Xenopus tropicalis: one gene and its partners. The protein of the gene in region 3 purifies or fractionates together with the protein of the main gene of each other region. This does not show direct contact. Links are inferred from orthologs where the notes say so. Each region holds a gene or a part of one and is shown on either strand. Other genes may lie near its edges.

Region 1 (4,731 bases), on a different chromosome or scaffold from region 3:
TAGAAAACAACTAAAAAAATATGTTTTTCTAGTGTACTATCTGAAACTAACTGAACTTAGAAAAAAAAAAGAAAGATAAACAACTCCTTTAAAGCTTAACTAAACTGAATTAATCCATTTTGTTGGCAAAGCAATCCTGTTTGATTTACTTAATGTGTAATTTTTTTTTAGCAGGCTTACAATGGTGGCACAGAAGGAGATTAGTCACCAGCGATAAATCTTTGCTACTGCGGGCGACTAACTCCCCTGAAATGCCTTCCCACTGGCAACAATGTAAATCTCTGGAGGGGATTCACATTCTTGCCGGTGGGATCCCAAGAATTCTGGAAAATAGATCCTATAATCTGTTAATAAAATGCAAGAAAGAAATATGCTGGACTCCAGTTTCATATATAGAAAAAAAAAAAACTCTTGCAGAAATAAAAACACCTGTTAACTGAAATTAGGCAGAAAATCTGTATCAAGTGTTCAATGTACCAATAATGTCATGCAAGACAATCTTAATCGGCCAGATATCGATCGGGCAGATTAAAAAATTCAGTCGGACCGGGGACCGCATCGGCACGTTGATGCGGTCCACGAACTGACTGCGCCTATTCCAGCCGTTATAATTCGATCATTTGCCCCCAGGGCCAAACGACCGAATAAGCCTAAATTACCCCGATATTGCCCCATTGCCCAAGGTGTATGGCCACCTTTAGAAGCAGTTTTAAGTAAACAACAACATTATAGTCAGGAGAGATGGCTGCTACATCAAGGCGATGTATCGCTAAAACTTTCAGAATATAATCGATTAAAAATTTGGTACCATTGTGGAAATAATTAGGTTTTTCTTCAGTAACCCCCTCTTAGCAATCTGTCTCTTTTTATGCAGGAGCTGGAGTCAGATCTAATACATCACTGATGTGTGCTCCCTTTGCCTATACAGGTATGGGACCTGCTATCCAGAATGCTCTGGATTAGCAATTATAGGGGTGACTGCGGGTTCAAAGTGATAATTAGGAGCCCATGATTTATACTTAGAGGGGGGCAACAAGTGCACATAACTATATTAGATACTGGTTACACATCTCAGGGTCTAAGGCAGAGGTGCCCAAAAGGTAGATCACGGTCTACCAGTAGATCACTTTAAAGTTTCTGGTAGACCTCGAGGTGGAATGGAGTGGGATGACATCCCGCCACTTTTTTTTCCCCACCCCCAGCATACAGGAGCTTTTGAGTGCGGCTGCTCAAGCCATCCGTCTTTGTAGTTTCATCCCAGTATATAAGACTGTCCCCACCGGGTCGCTGTATATATTTGTTCCCACTTTATAAATGTTTCTGTGTGCAAACTACAAAGTGGGCCATGAAGACGGGAAGTAAAAACTACTACAATCCTTTCACATTAATCTTGAAGTTGGCACCCCCACATGGTCCTGCTCAGCTAAGTCTCAGTAAGGAGAACTGCATCCCTGGGGATGCGCCACATACTATTGTGGTTATAAGCCATAGTTCTCTGGAGAACTGTGTCCCCTTGCTTAAAAATATTATTATTGTAGCTGCACCCCCATAAATTACCATTTAATTGGCTGAGCACTGTAGCACAGGGCAAACATAATAAATAAATGAATTTGTTTTCTTCCAAGTCCAGTGAGTGCTGTGTCCATTTGTTGTTTACATTTTGATAACTACACCAGGCAATTTTTATTCATTAGGAGATTACATTACTATGATATATATGTTATGATTTGTTTTGATTTTTCAAAAGAAATCCCGGAGTTGCTGGTCTTTTTTATACTATTGAAACCCTTTAGAACCATAGAGGAGCACTCCCTAAACTACCCAGGCAAGTAGCCAGAGTGCTGGTAAATATGTTAAATAGAAAAGCATAGTACCACACTCAATGGAAAAACTTGTGAAAAATCAAAATTTAAATATACATACAACCTATGTATGTAGTTGGTCTTACCTGGTCTCTTTCCTCCATAGAAGTTTGTGTATTCTGTACAAGTGATGTACCTGGTAAAATAATTAACAAATAAACAGATTTAGTAACCACACAGGATTAAGGGAAAAAGATGGTATAAAATTAGCATGTAAACATTTCAAATGGCCAAAATAGGATACATAGTAAAAAAAAACTAGAAAGAAAAAATAGTCAAACGTGCAGAATCAACCCTCTAGTGACCAAAAGAGGGAAAAATTACAATTTAACAATTAAGTCTGTAACTATCAAAAAAAGTTAAAAATTATCAACTTTATTACAATCCATTAAAACAAACCCCATGTACAAAGCCAGACGTGTTTATGCTTATGCAGCATGTAATCATAGGCTGGATAAAATTAGCATGCCCAAAAACTAACATGTACAGCTTGAATGTATCAAAAAAACAAAAAAGGAGGATGCTCACTAGAACAGTAACCTATGCCAATGTATTTTTTGACAAAGAGAAGAACCAGTCTGAGGGCTGATGTCAGTGATTATTATTACTGGGGGGTATGTAACAAATGGGACCCGCCACGCTCAGTATGGCATGGTACTCGGGTTTTTCGTGCCATGGGATTTTTCTTAACAATTGGTTAGTCATCTTTAAAAATTGTTTTATTTATTTTAGGGTAGCATAACACATGTCCTGTAAACAGCCTTGGTCATTTTAAACTTCAGAAACCGTGAAAGCATTTGTGAACAATATAGTGATACTTAATGGTGTATAGTCTTTGTGGGGGCAGCAAAGTGGCATTTATGTGCCACCTACAACCTCCATTTCTGCTTACACAGGACCTTGATATAAATGCTTCCCAGTCTATCCTAAATAAAGGTCCCCACTGTATGCAATAAGTGAAAGCCTTCTTCTAACAGATACATGCCCTCCCCCTCACACACAGCATTCCCTTAAACAAGAAGATGAGAGGTTGTAACTCTGGAATATGCTATGTGTGCATTATTGGGCGAGTGTAGATCCACAGACACAGGTTACACAGAGCATGCACAAACAGTACAACAACAATACGCCGCCATTTTACGTATAAGTCGCATTTAAGGCTCGCAACTTACATTTTATCTTTTTGATGCTGACGCTTCCCCATTTTGTTTATCTGTTACTGAAGCCCCGTTCTGTTTCAATACTGAACACTTTTTCCAGACTTAGCGTCCAATTATAACTTCCGGTCCGTCTATTGGTAGGGCTCGGGTACCGGAAGTAAAAAAACGCGGAAGCGTCTAATTCGAAATATCTGTGTTCCTAATACTGGAGACGAGGATGCTATGGTTAAAGTGATTGGCATTAAAGTAGAACTAGTTGTAGATATGCTTTTGTTTGCTCCACGTTTCGCAAATTCATTATAATTAATTACATTAATATGTCGTTTCTGTAAAGGATTTCAAAGAGAAAAGGAGCATTTTAAAGCTGTCAGGGGCAACATGGAAAAGGGAGGGGACGGAGAAGATCTGGCGCGGAGTGAGAAAGTGTTGAAGAGAGCAATAGGTGATGTAGAATAGTAAGCGATGTGGCGGAGAAGATAAATGTTAAAAATAGGGCGTTTGGGGCACCAACCTCAAAGCTGATAAGGAGCAATATGAATATTAGTGTTTTCTTTACCTATTCTGACTCAAGAAATGCGCTAAAATAGGTGGCAAATGCTTTTTGGCATTCTCAAGCCCAGTACTGACTGTCAGAACTAGTTCCTGCCACTCTTTTGGTACCTGTTCTGACACATGACATTATTTGTTTTATCCTCTCTAAATGGTTTCCATAATATGGGATTAAAGGCACAGTTCAGTGTAAAAATGAAACTGGGTCAAATAGACTGCTCAAAATAAAAAAAATATTTGTAATAGAGTTAGGCAAAAATGTACAGTAATTATAAAGGTTGGAGTGGACAGATGTCTATCAATAGCCAGAATACTACTTCCTGCTTTCAGCTGTCTAACCTCAGTTAGTTTGTGAGCACGCAGATCAGATTGAAAAGTAGTGTTCTGGCTCTTATGTTTAACATCTGTTCACTCTAGCCTTTATAAATAACATTTTTGGCTAACTCACCTACCTTTGGCTTCAGCCCTGCCTAAATAGGTGCCTGGCATTGTTTGGTTCCTTTTCTTAGGGCCAGAACAGATGTGTTATCCTGGTTGCCTAAATACATGCTTCACTTAGGTTCAGGCTGCTGGAATAAGTTCCTGGTACCCTATTATAAGAGCTGGAATAGGTGTCAGCACCCCTGACCCCTGTTTTTAGTGCCAGAAAGGTCCCCTGGCCCTGTGGCTCTTGTTCCAAATCTTAATTGGGTTAATTACACCAGGCCCTTACTGGCAATCTGTGGGTTTGGCAAAGGGGCTACTTTAAGATGCCATAGACCAGTGCTGTCCAACTGGCGGCCCGCAACCCCCCTCTGTGTGGCCCCTCACCTGTCTGGCTGCTTTGATGGCTTACCTTTGTGTAAGCTTTAAATGGTATCAGTACTGGCCCCCTGCATGGTTAACACCTCAGATTCAGGCTGTAAACCCCCTGTATTGTTTAAAAATATAATCCCCTGTGTTGTTCACACCTTTTTATCCCTACATTGTTCACCCCCTGCAGTGTTCACACCTCAGACTCAGGCTCTAATCACCCATATTGTTCACATGTTCACACCTCAAACAGACTGTAGGAGCAGTAGAAACCCACAAATAAACCCTACACACTATAAAAAGAACATATACTGAGGTGGTACTGCAATTAAAAAGTTTTCTAATATATAGTTATTGTGCAGACTGTA
Region 2 (4,804 bases), on a different chromosome or scaffold from region 3:
CCTATGTGATTTATGATGATGTGGACCTTAAAGCAGCGGAGATATGGATCCATTTCTATAATCCATATTTTCTGTATGCTGTCCCCCCCTGCTGTTCCTAGGCCCACACTTTGCCTCTCTTTGATAAACAGATCAAAGACCCCAGCTTCCTGCCCCAACGGGCTGATCCCGCATTGTCTGATGAAGTTGTTTATGTTGTCACCTTCCACAGTCCTGGTTGTGTCTTTAAGGGATATTTGTGAATTACCCCCTACTGGGAAGGGTTTCCCTCAAATGTGGATTTCAACCAGACTGAAATTGAAAATTTAAAATCTATGGAGCCTTACTGCTCCAACATGACAATGACCATTTGGCCCTTGGGTCAAATGATCGCATTGCAATGAAGGGGATAGGAAAAGTGAGAGTGATATGACTAAAAATCAAGCATGTCCAACTGAAATCTGGCCAATCTTAGGCCAGAAATTGGTCGGAGAGGCCTGTCAGAGGGCCCTATACACAGGCAGATAAGCTGCTGAGTCCGTCTTAAGGACCCAAATCAGCAGCTTAAATCTGCCCTTGTACGGGCACCTTTAAAGAAGTTTTCTATTCAGGCAGCAGCGATCTTAAGGCTGCTGTGCCGCCCCCCCTCTGCGTTTACCTCTTCAGCATTGGAGCAGGTCCTGGGGGGGCAGCATCACTATATCAAATGGAGGTCACTGACCCCCCCAATCGAATATCACTCTCTGCACTAGATGAGCTCAATCTCCATTTTTAGAAATGCAGCTCAAAGTTACCTGAGGTGGCTTTTTGCCACCCCTGGTACATGCCCACTCACTGCTGCCTACAGCAAGGTTCTCACATTGCCTCCTGGCAGGAGCAGCCCTGTATTCAGGTGCCCAGGCAGCATGGTGGCTCAGTGGGTAGCAGTGCTGCCTTCTGCTGAGTCCTGAGTATACTCCCACATAAAAAACATAAACATACCAGCATGTAATTACTTTAGGATTAAATTGTCTCTACAATATGTGATAGGGACCTTAAACTGTTCTGGGCCAGTGACTGATAAAGTGAATGATGATGAAGTGAATGATGCAGACTCTCTGTAAAGCGCTGCGGAGTTCTGTTCACCAGGGGTGACGCCTCCCAGATAAATTCATCATAGCATTATTCTCTAAGGCCAGAAGATGTAGCTCTCCGCCTTACAGATGCAGAATGCCAGGTCTCCAAACGTCTCCCATTTTCGGGACTTTAGAAATGGCCATCAAAGGACAATATATAATATTATTATTTTTTTATGTAACCAACGCCATCTGCTGCCTGCTGTAACCAACAAAATGTCTGCAACCGACGAATGGCGACAAGTATTTGAGTACATCAGGTAACAAAAGCAGAGTTTAGATTTCCCGTTACCTGTATACCACGGATTAGTAATGCCCACTAGAATTCAATCCGTTTAACCCGCATTGTCAATAGAGTTCCGTGGTTTAGTCTACATCGTATTTACGCTTTCCTAGAGGAGGAAGGCTGACGTTGTGACGTAAGGGTCATAGGGTAAAGGTTAGCGTCAGCAATATGGCGGCTACTAAGAGAGTTTTGTACGTGGGTTAGTACTTTTTTACATTTGCATTTTCTTCTTTTAGAGGTACGGGGTTAGTAGTGCAAAATAAATGGAGCGCAATCTTTAGCATTTTGCTGCTATTTGTAGCAATACCTAGAGAAGCCATGAGAGACAGCCATGTTCACGTGGATAGTGGGGCTGCAACCCCCATCTGTTAATCCGGGCACCGAGCTGCACGATATTTTCCTGACTACGGGGGCTTGTTAGTGCGAGAAGTGTCTTTAAAATGTTTTGTTTAACTTTTCCTGCTGTAATTTCTGTTCTAAAACTTGTTCATTCATGTGATTAACAGGCGGGCTTGCAGAGGAGGTGGATGAAAAAATCCTGCATGCAGCTTTTATTCCTTTTGGCGATATTACTGATATTCAGATACCTCTAGACTATGAAACAGGTAAGTATGGAACTTAATGCACCACTATGCTCATTTTAAGATCATGGGGATTTATATACACATATCTAATTTACACCAGTTTCTTTTTCTGCCTGTCTCGCAACTGGGTTTGTGTGTGAGTGACATTTCTCATTCGAGGGTGAACTTTTGTAATTAAAATTACAACTTTTCTGTGTGAAAATATCTAGTGGCACATACTACTAGCGAAGTATAGCTTTCATGAAAAAGCTGTGTTAAATGATGTATTTTTATAGAGACTGGCTATTTTTAGAGGTATTGCAGCTATGACAAGTTTAGCTATGATGCTATATTAAATATGCATAAATCCACTAAGGTAGTATATTACAAACTGGCCTTATGGGCGTGACATGTATAGTGCACCTGTTGAAATATTTTGGTCACAGGCACTGTTTAAGGAAGATATGTAACATGACTGTAAATCCCTCAGTCTTGTAGGCAAAAATTATTTATATTGTTTCACTCTAAGCTAAAGTTTATAATTATCTTTAAAACAACCCCTTTATTGGATCTCCCCATAGCTCCACTAAAGTCCCTGTCCATGTTTCAAATGAGGGGTTGGTGTGTCCTAATGGTCCCTGCCACAAGCACAGTAGGAGCGGGACAGCAAATCACAGCCCTGCAGTCACACAGGCAAAGATAGGCTTCAGTTCCCTATCAGCTCAGCCTAGCTGCTGATTGGTTCCTAAGCTACAATGCAGTGTGCAGGGTAGCTGGCAGCAGTCAGCACGACCTGGCAAAGGAGGCAGCAGCAAGGAACAAATGGGCAGAACCAGCACAGTTTTTGGAGAAATTTTCAATAAAAGTTCATTAAAAAACTTTTAAAGCACATTTCTTCTATATCTAGAGGAGTATAATGCACTGGCACATTCTTGTTTCTTACACAACATATCCCCTTTAAGCTACCCATTACAAGCACATTTCAAAATACATATTGTAACTGAATGCAAGAGTAATTCTAGCTTCACAATTCTTACATTCTTAAAACAATTTACCAGTTCAGCGATAAGCCTTCTGTATAATGAGCTGCCCCTTATCTCAAAGCCTAACAAAGACTGCAGCTGGGGAAAGGAGGTAGGTGTTTGTATAGAGGGCATCTCATTGTACTGGTAATTTGAGTTTATCAACTCGTAAGAACCAGGAAGTTGATATCAGTCTTAATTTCACTTTCAGGCTTTGCCATGTATGGTTAAGAAATAACACGAACCACAAATATTTGTAGAGCTATGAGATCTGTTATCCAGAAACCTGTTATCCTGAAACGGGAAGGCCATCTCCTATAGACTCCCATTTTAATGAAATAATTAAAAATTATTGGGTTTATTAAATGTTTAAATGATTTTAGTGTACTTAAAGTATGGTTATCCAAGTTATTGAAAGATCCATTATCCCATACCCATGAATTATGGGTGGATGCTGTGGGTTATTTTATCTGTCCATATTTTCTCTGATATTAAATGTTCATCATTCTAGTATGATTTCTGTGTTCCTGCTTCTCCTGAGAAAGAATTATGTTTACAACATTTTGTATGGGTATTAATGGTTGGTGGTCTTATTTTCTTATAGAAAAACACAGAGGATTTGCATTTGTGGAGTTTGAGCTTCCAGAGGTCAGTTATCAAAATAACTTATACAAGGTGGATTCTTTATCCTCTATTTCTTCCCTTAGGGTGCATGAGGGAGATGGGGTTCTGGCAATTCATTCTGGGGATCAATTCAGAATTTTTGCCTGATTTGCAGCTATTATTGCACATGCCAGTAATTAGTGCCTCACACACGGACAATCAGGTTTTACAAGGAAATAAAATATATAAGTATTGGGTTTATGTAAAAACGTTCATAAATGTTATCTGAATTGTCACGAATGTATATTATATATACATAGAAACAATTTTTATCAGTTGGCCTCGCTTAGGATAGCTGTAGCTATGTTCAGCCCAAAGTGTCAGGTATGCCAAACTAATTTCTCCCAGATGAACATTGAATTCCAACAATGTCAGCGCCCAATATATATTATTTATTTCAATTGAATGTATCTTTGTTTAATGTTGCATTTTTTCCATTTTCCAGGATGCAGCTGCTGCAATTGATAACATGGTAAGAGTTGGTTATGTAGTTTATTCACTTAATTTGTGCTTAGGCCTTTTATACTGTCTTACTTGTAGAAATGCTAGCAAGTCCCAAAGCATCAATTCTGTAATTTAATACTTAATATACATATCAATTTATGTTAACCATCACTTGCTTTAGAAGTTTGTCTAATGCATTTTATATAAATAAGCTGGAGAAGCAAAGGTAAGTACTAAGTAAGATTTACCAAAGTTCTATGTAAATACAGCCATAAGCACTACCAAAAAATCTACACTGGGTCTTCTATCAAAAGAAACACAGGATTTCTTGTCTCCTTTTTTGTGAACATGTTCTTGGGTATCTGACTTCCTCTCTCAGAAAAATCCTTCATTCCTGGGCCAGAGTCTGCTCTCTCCTCTCTTCTTTGTTCATAAGAATGCATTAAACTACCCCCACCCTTTAGGAATGTGTAATCTGAGCTACAACAGCTAGCGCTGCAAGTAGGAAGCTACTTAAAATGGCAGCTGCTATCTTAAACAAACAGAGAAAGCTTCTAGGGATCTTTACTCAGGTATGGTAAGAATAAATATGGTGTTCTAGGTGGCACTAATGTGGCAAATGTATTGGCAGTTAAATGCCAAAATGAATTTCCTTTATCTATAAAGCTAAATTTGCACAGCAAAAAAATGTAAATATGTACATAAGACTTTGTTAAATTGCTAGAGTTAAAT
Region 3 (4,060 bases):
TATAATGTATTTTTACATATAGTCCTCAATACAACGCTATAAAAAGCATTGTTAATAATAACTTAACAATTCTTAAAACAGATCCAATTTTGAGGCAAATTCTTGATAATGGGTATAGATTTGTAACCAGGAAAACGGATACCCTAAGTAACAAATTATCCCCACTAATACATAACCATGGGTATAGACATATCCTGGGTCCAGACAGTGTATTACCTGTAATTTTGTTGTCAAAACACAATCCTTCACTTCATCCACTACAATGAATACTTATCAGATTAAACACTATATTAATTGCAATACTAAATATGTGATTTATCTACTCACATGCACTAAGTGTAAAAAACAATATGTCGGTCAAACAAGTAGAAAACTGAAAGACAGAATCAGAGAGCATATCCTTAATATCACAAACAAAAAATGTAACACTACAATAGCGAAACATTTCTCAGAATGTTCAAATAGATCATTGTCCTATCTAAACATAAAAGGAATTGCTAGAGTAACCTCCACGATCCCCGTGGAGGAGACATTACCCATGCTCTAATTAAAAAAGAAACTAAATGGATATTTTTTATAAAAACCAGACAACCGCATGGTCTAAACTATGAATACGATGTGACCTGTTATGTATAGAAAAATGCTTTATAAAATTGTGCCTAAACGTTGGATATTTAATCTCACATAAGAGTTATACTTAGTATCCCTATATAAATCTTTTTAACCACTCACTATCTATCATTCAATTGTACCTAATTACTTGATGATTGTGATTGGCCAATTTTTGAGATATCCCTATTGGCCACCTTATATTTAAATACTGTGTATCTTGTAAGTGTAATACAGCCTATGACTAAGTACCCTATTGGTGCGAAACGCATAAGGCTTCTTTTTGTTCTTTTATATATGGATTAAATAAACTTTTTACATTTTTTACTTATAATATGGCTGTTTTTTTATATATACCTCTGGGACATCGGAGTGCCTGCCATCAATTTTTGCTATGTGATTTCTGCTGGATAAACAGGTGTACAATGTGGGGGCTTACAGTCTGAGCCTGAGGTGTGAACAATGCAGGGACTAAAGGTGTGAACAGTACCAGGGATTACATGTTTAAACAATACAGGGGTTTACAGTCTGTCGGCTGTTTTTTAATATATACCTCTGGGACATCGGAGTGCCTGCCATCAATTTTTGCTACGTGATTTCCTCTATTATGGCTCCCTAAGCTAAAGGTCTGGGGCATGAGCACCCGGGCCCATCTCTACAAAGGGTAAGACATCTATACTACAAGCAAAAACTGTGATAACCCCATATATGCTGTATGTACTGCCTGCCCCATGCTGCCTATGTGTAGGGCAGGCAGAGTATGATACACACAGTCAGCATAGGGCAGGCAGAGTATGGCACACACAGGCAGCATACTGCCTGTGTGCTATACTCTGCCTGCGTGTGCTGTACTCTGCCTGTCCTATGCTGTGGGAGGTGAACCTGGCAGGGGTTTGTTCTGGGAGTTTGTTAGCATGCTGTAAGATGCCATAGACAGTCACTATTTATTGATCTGGTGGGGGGCTGTTTTGGTCTCTGTGTACTTTAAATGCCAAGTACACTTGATAAAGCGATGTGCACTACTACTACCCATTCTACAGCATAGTTAGAAGTGCGTGGACAACTTACTTAAAAAGTGAATGCTGAATGATTAAAAGTACAGGAGATACTAGAAGAAATTGAAATAGCCACCCCTTTTTTAACATTAAAAAGTAACCCTGCACACTGAGAAAGCTGAAAATTCGGTAAGGCAAATCATGTAAACTAAACACAGATGTCTGATGCACAAATAGTTTTTAACAAAAATAATTTATTTCCATGGGAAAGCACTGTCAATAAAAACAGTGCTAGGAGAGTTTGCTTTTTTAAAAGTATTCATTTGAGTTCTAAGGTTAAAATTACACAATTACACAAGCATGCTGCTAACATAAAACTTACTTGGTTTTTAAAGCTGTTGGCTGGTCTTCTGTGCCTGCAGAAAAATAACTGTTACAAAGCTGTCATTAATGTTCGTGTAACTTTATAGAGATCATAGCATGCTGTAGTCTCCTTATGTAGTCTTTACAGGCAATGGTCTATAAATAATCCATATAGCAAATATTAAATGCTTGTGTTAAAAAACAAAAAAAAAAAAATCCCCTAAAAAATAGATCCTCTGCCCTCAACTATACCCTTTTTTGCAATATTTTTACATCAGCCAACCATTGTCAAGCCAGACCTATGCTTTCATCTAATTAATTTTTGCATTCCAGTAATTTCTTTTGCAAGTGTTTACAGGGACTAAGTTGTATCGGCAAGTTGTTTTACAAAGTTAAAACTCCCAGAAGTTTGCCCTTTATATTGGACACCAGAGGGATCACCTGTCAGAAGCGAGAAATGATGGGAGCTTGCCTCTTCTTTTATAAACTATTAGAAACTAGTAGCAAAATGGAAAGTTCTCCTCAAAAGTTATGATTTTTGAATCATAAATTAAAAAAAGAAGGAAAGGTATAACTAGAAGGTGCCAAAATGTTATGCAAACCCCAAGTGATTTTAATGGCTTACTTGACACCACGGCTACCCTAGTTAAGACGCTTCCCTGTGTTCTCTTGCTAATGAGGAGCTGTAAAGAATATCTTCGCTCTATACAACCAGACTGGACTGTAGAGAAGATCCAAGAAGATGATGGGAGTGTGGTGCTCCTACAGTAGTACCCCAAGCTGGTGCAACTTTCAGCAAACAGAAGCACCGGCCAGGGGTCTCAGGTAAGAGATTATAATCTCTGGGGTGCCCCTAATATTTTTGGTAAATTATAAAATTACACCCTCATTGCACCACTGATTTAATTTAATTTAATTTGTGGTGAGCACACTTTTGTTTTGCCTAAGCAGTCATATAATACAGGACTCTAGAATGCTCATTAGATTTCTAATGGTGGCCACCCTTAGGAGGACACTATGCTCTGTTTAGACAAACTGAGGTAAAGGAGATCAACTGACTAGGTAGACTAAGTGGCCAAGTGAGATTTCTATGTATTCTGGTGTGCCAGTTTAATACTACAAATAGGCTGAATATTAAAAGCAGCTCCTTTCTTTAATCTTTACATTAAAAAATAATTTTACATGACAAGCTTAACTTTATTTCAAGGAAAAAATGCAGTTGTGAGTTTCACCAACTGTCTGTTTATTTAGGTGTTTACTTAAAAAAAACAAAAAAAAACTGCTTCTGAGAAAGCAGATGACACCCAGAAATGAAATCAAGCATTTAATTTTGCCTACCTTTAATTCGTTTGCTCTCTTGGTTCTCTGGTTCAGACCCCTTCCTTTTCATAATGTGATGAAGCTGTACTTTATTTGAGGGACTACTTATGTTAGCCTTGGATCCTTTTAACTCAGCAACTTTCTTTAAAATATCAAAAACATTAGGAAACAGAGAGCAATTTACAAACTTAAAAACTAGGATCACATAAATACAGTAATATAAAAACAATGATATTGTATGTGTTACATGCAACTTGAATGAGTAAATAAGGCCTGATTAACACTGAATGAAGGTGCTTTGTAAAGCATAATGGTAAAGGATGTAGATGTTCAACATATGTGAAAAATGTTGTTAAAAAAGTCACAGTATCATGTTATAGAATTGAAAAAAAAACCCACACTTAAGTATAATATAAGGGTAAAGGCACATGCACTAAATTATTTACACATAAATCTACTGTCGTTTATTTAGAAATCACAGCAGGTATCCTTGCTGTGTTTTTTCTTGAAGACGTTTCGCCAGTCATTCAACTGGCTTTCTCAATTCACAATGAATTCAAAGTGAGTGGAGCCACCAACAGCCAGTCCATTTCCACCCATTAAATTTCATTGGTTTATATTGAAACTGATGCCATTATGTAAGTATTAATTCCAGGGTTGTTAAACTCTCCAAAGTCAGTCACTGGGTATTTGCGGTTCAAAGTTAGAAAAAGTAGGTGGAGCCACCAACAGCCAATCACATTTCACCTATTTACTTTCAATGGTGAAGTGTA

What was found.
Region 1: the proteins of znf830 (region 3) and ppil2 purify together in Homo sapiens (co-immunoprecipitation; 4 studies listed by BioGRID and IntAct, counting the BioPlex papers as one, with this or other methods). This does not show direct contact. The link is inferred for Xenopus tropicalis from reciprocal best matches to the Homo sapiens genes ZNF830 and PPIL2.
Region 2: the proteins of znf830 (region 3) and ppie purify together in Homo sapiens (affinity purification with mass spectrometry; 3 studies listed by BioGRID and IntAct, counting the BioPlex papers as one, with this or other methods). This does not show direct contact. The link is inferred for Xenopus tropicalis from reciprocal best matches to the Homo sapiens genes ZNF830 and PPIE.

What each region holds. Positions count from the first base shown.
Region 1 is NC_030677.2:154,149,276-154,154,006, forward strand, and holds the start of ppil2 (peptidyl-prolyl cis-trans isomerase-like 2), read right to left. Parts: upstream 3,125-4,731; 5' UTR 3,067-3,124; coding exon 3,035-3,066; intron 1,999-3,034; coding exon 1,949-1,998; intron 1-1,948. UniProt on the Homo sapiens protein: Has a ubiquitin-protein ligase activity acting as an E3 ubiquitin protein ligase or as an ubiquitin-ubiquitin ligase promoting elongation of ubiquitin chains on substrates.
Region 2 is NC_030678.2:91,050,738-91,055,541, forward strand, and holds the start of ppie (peptidyl-prolyl cis-trans isomerase E), read left to right. Parts: upstream 1-1,681; 5' UTR 1,682-1,711; coding exon 1,712-1,796; intron 1,797-1,886; coding exon 1,887-1,985; intron 1,986-3,569; coding exon 3,570-3,613; intron 3,614-4,073; coding exon 4,074-4,100; intron 4,101-4,804. UniProt on the Homo sapiens protein: Involved in pre-mRNA splicing as component of the spliceosome. Combines RNA-binding and PPIase activities.
Region 3 is NC_030682.2:73,852,299-73,856,358, reverse strand, and holds part of znf830 (zinc finger protein 830), read right to left. Parts: intron 3,430-4,060; coding exon 3,306-3,429; intron 2,021-3,305; coding exon 1,987-2,020; intron 1-1,986.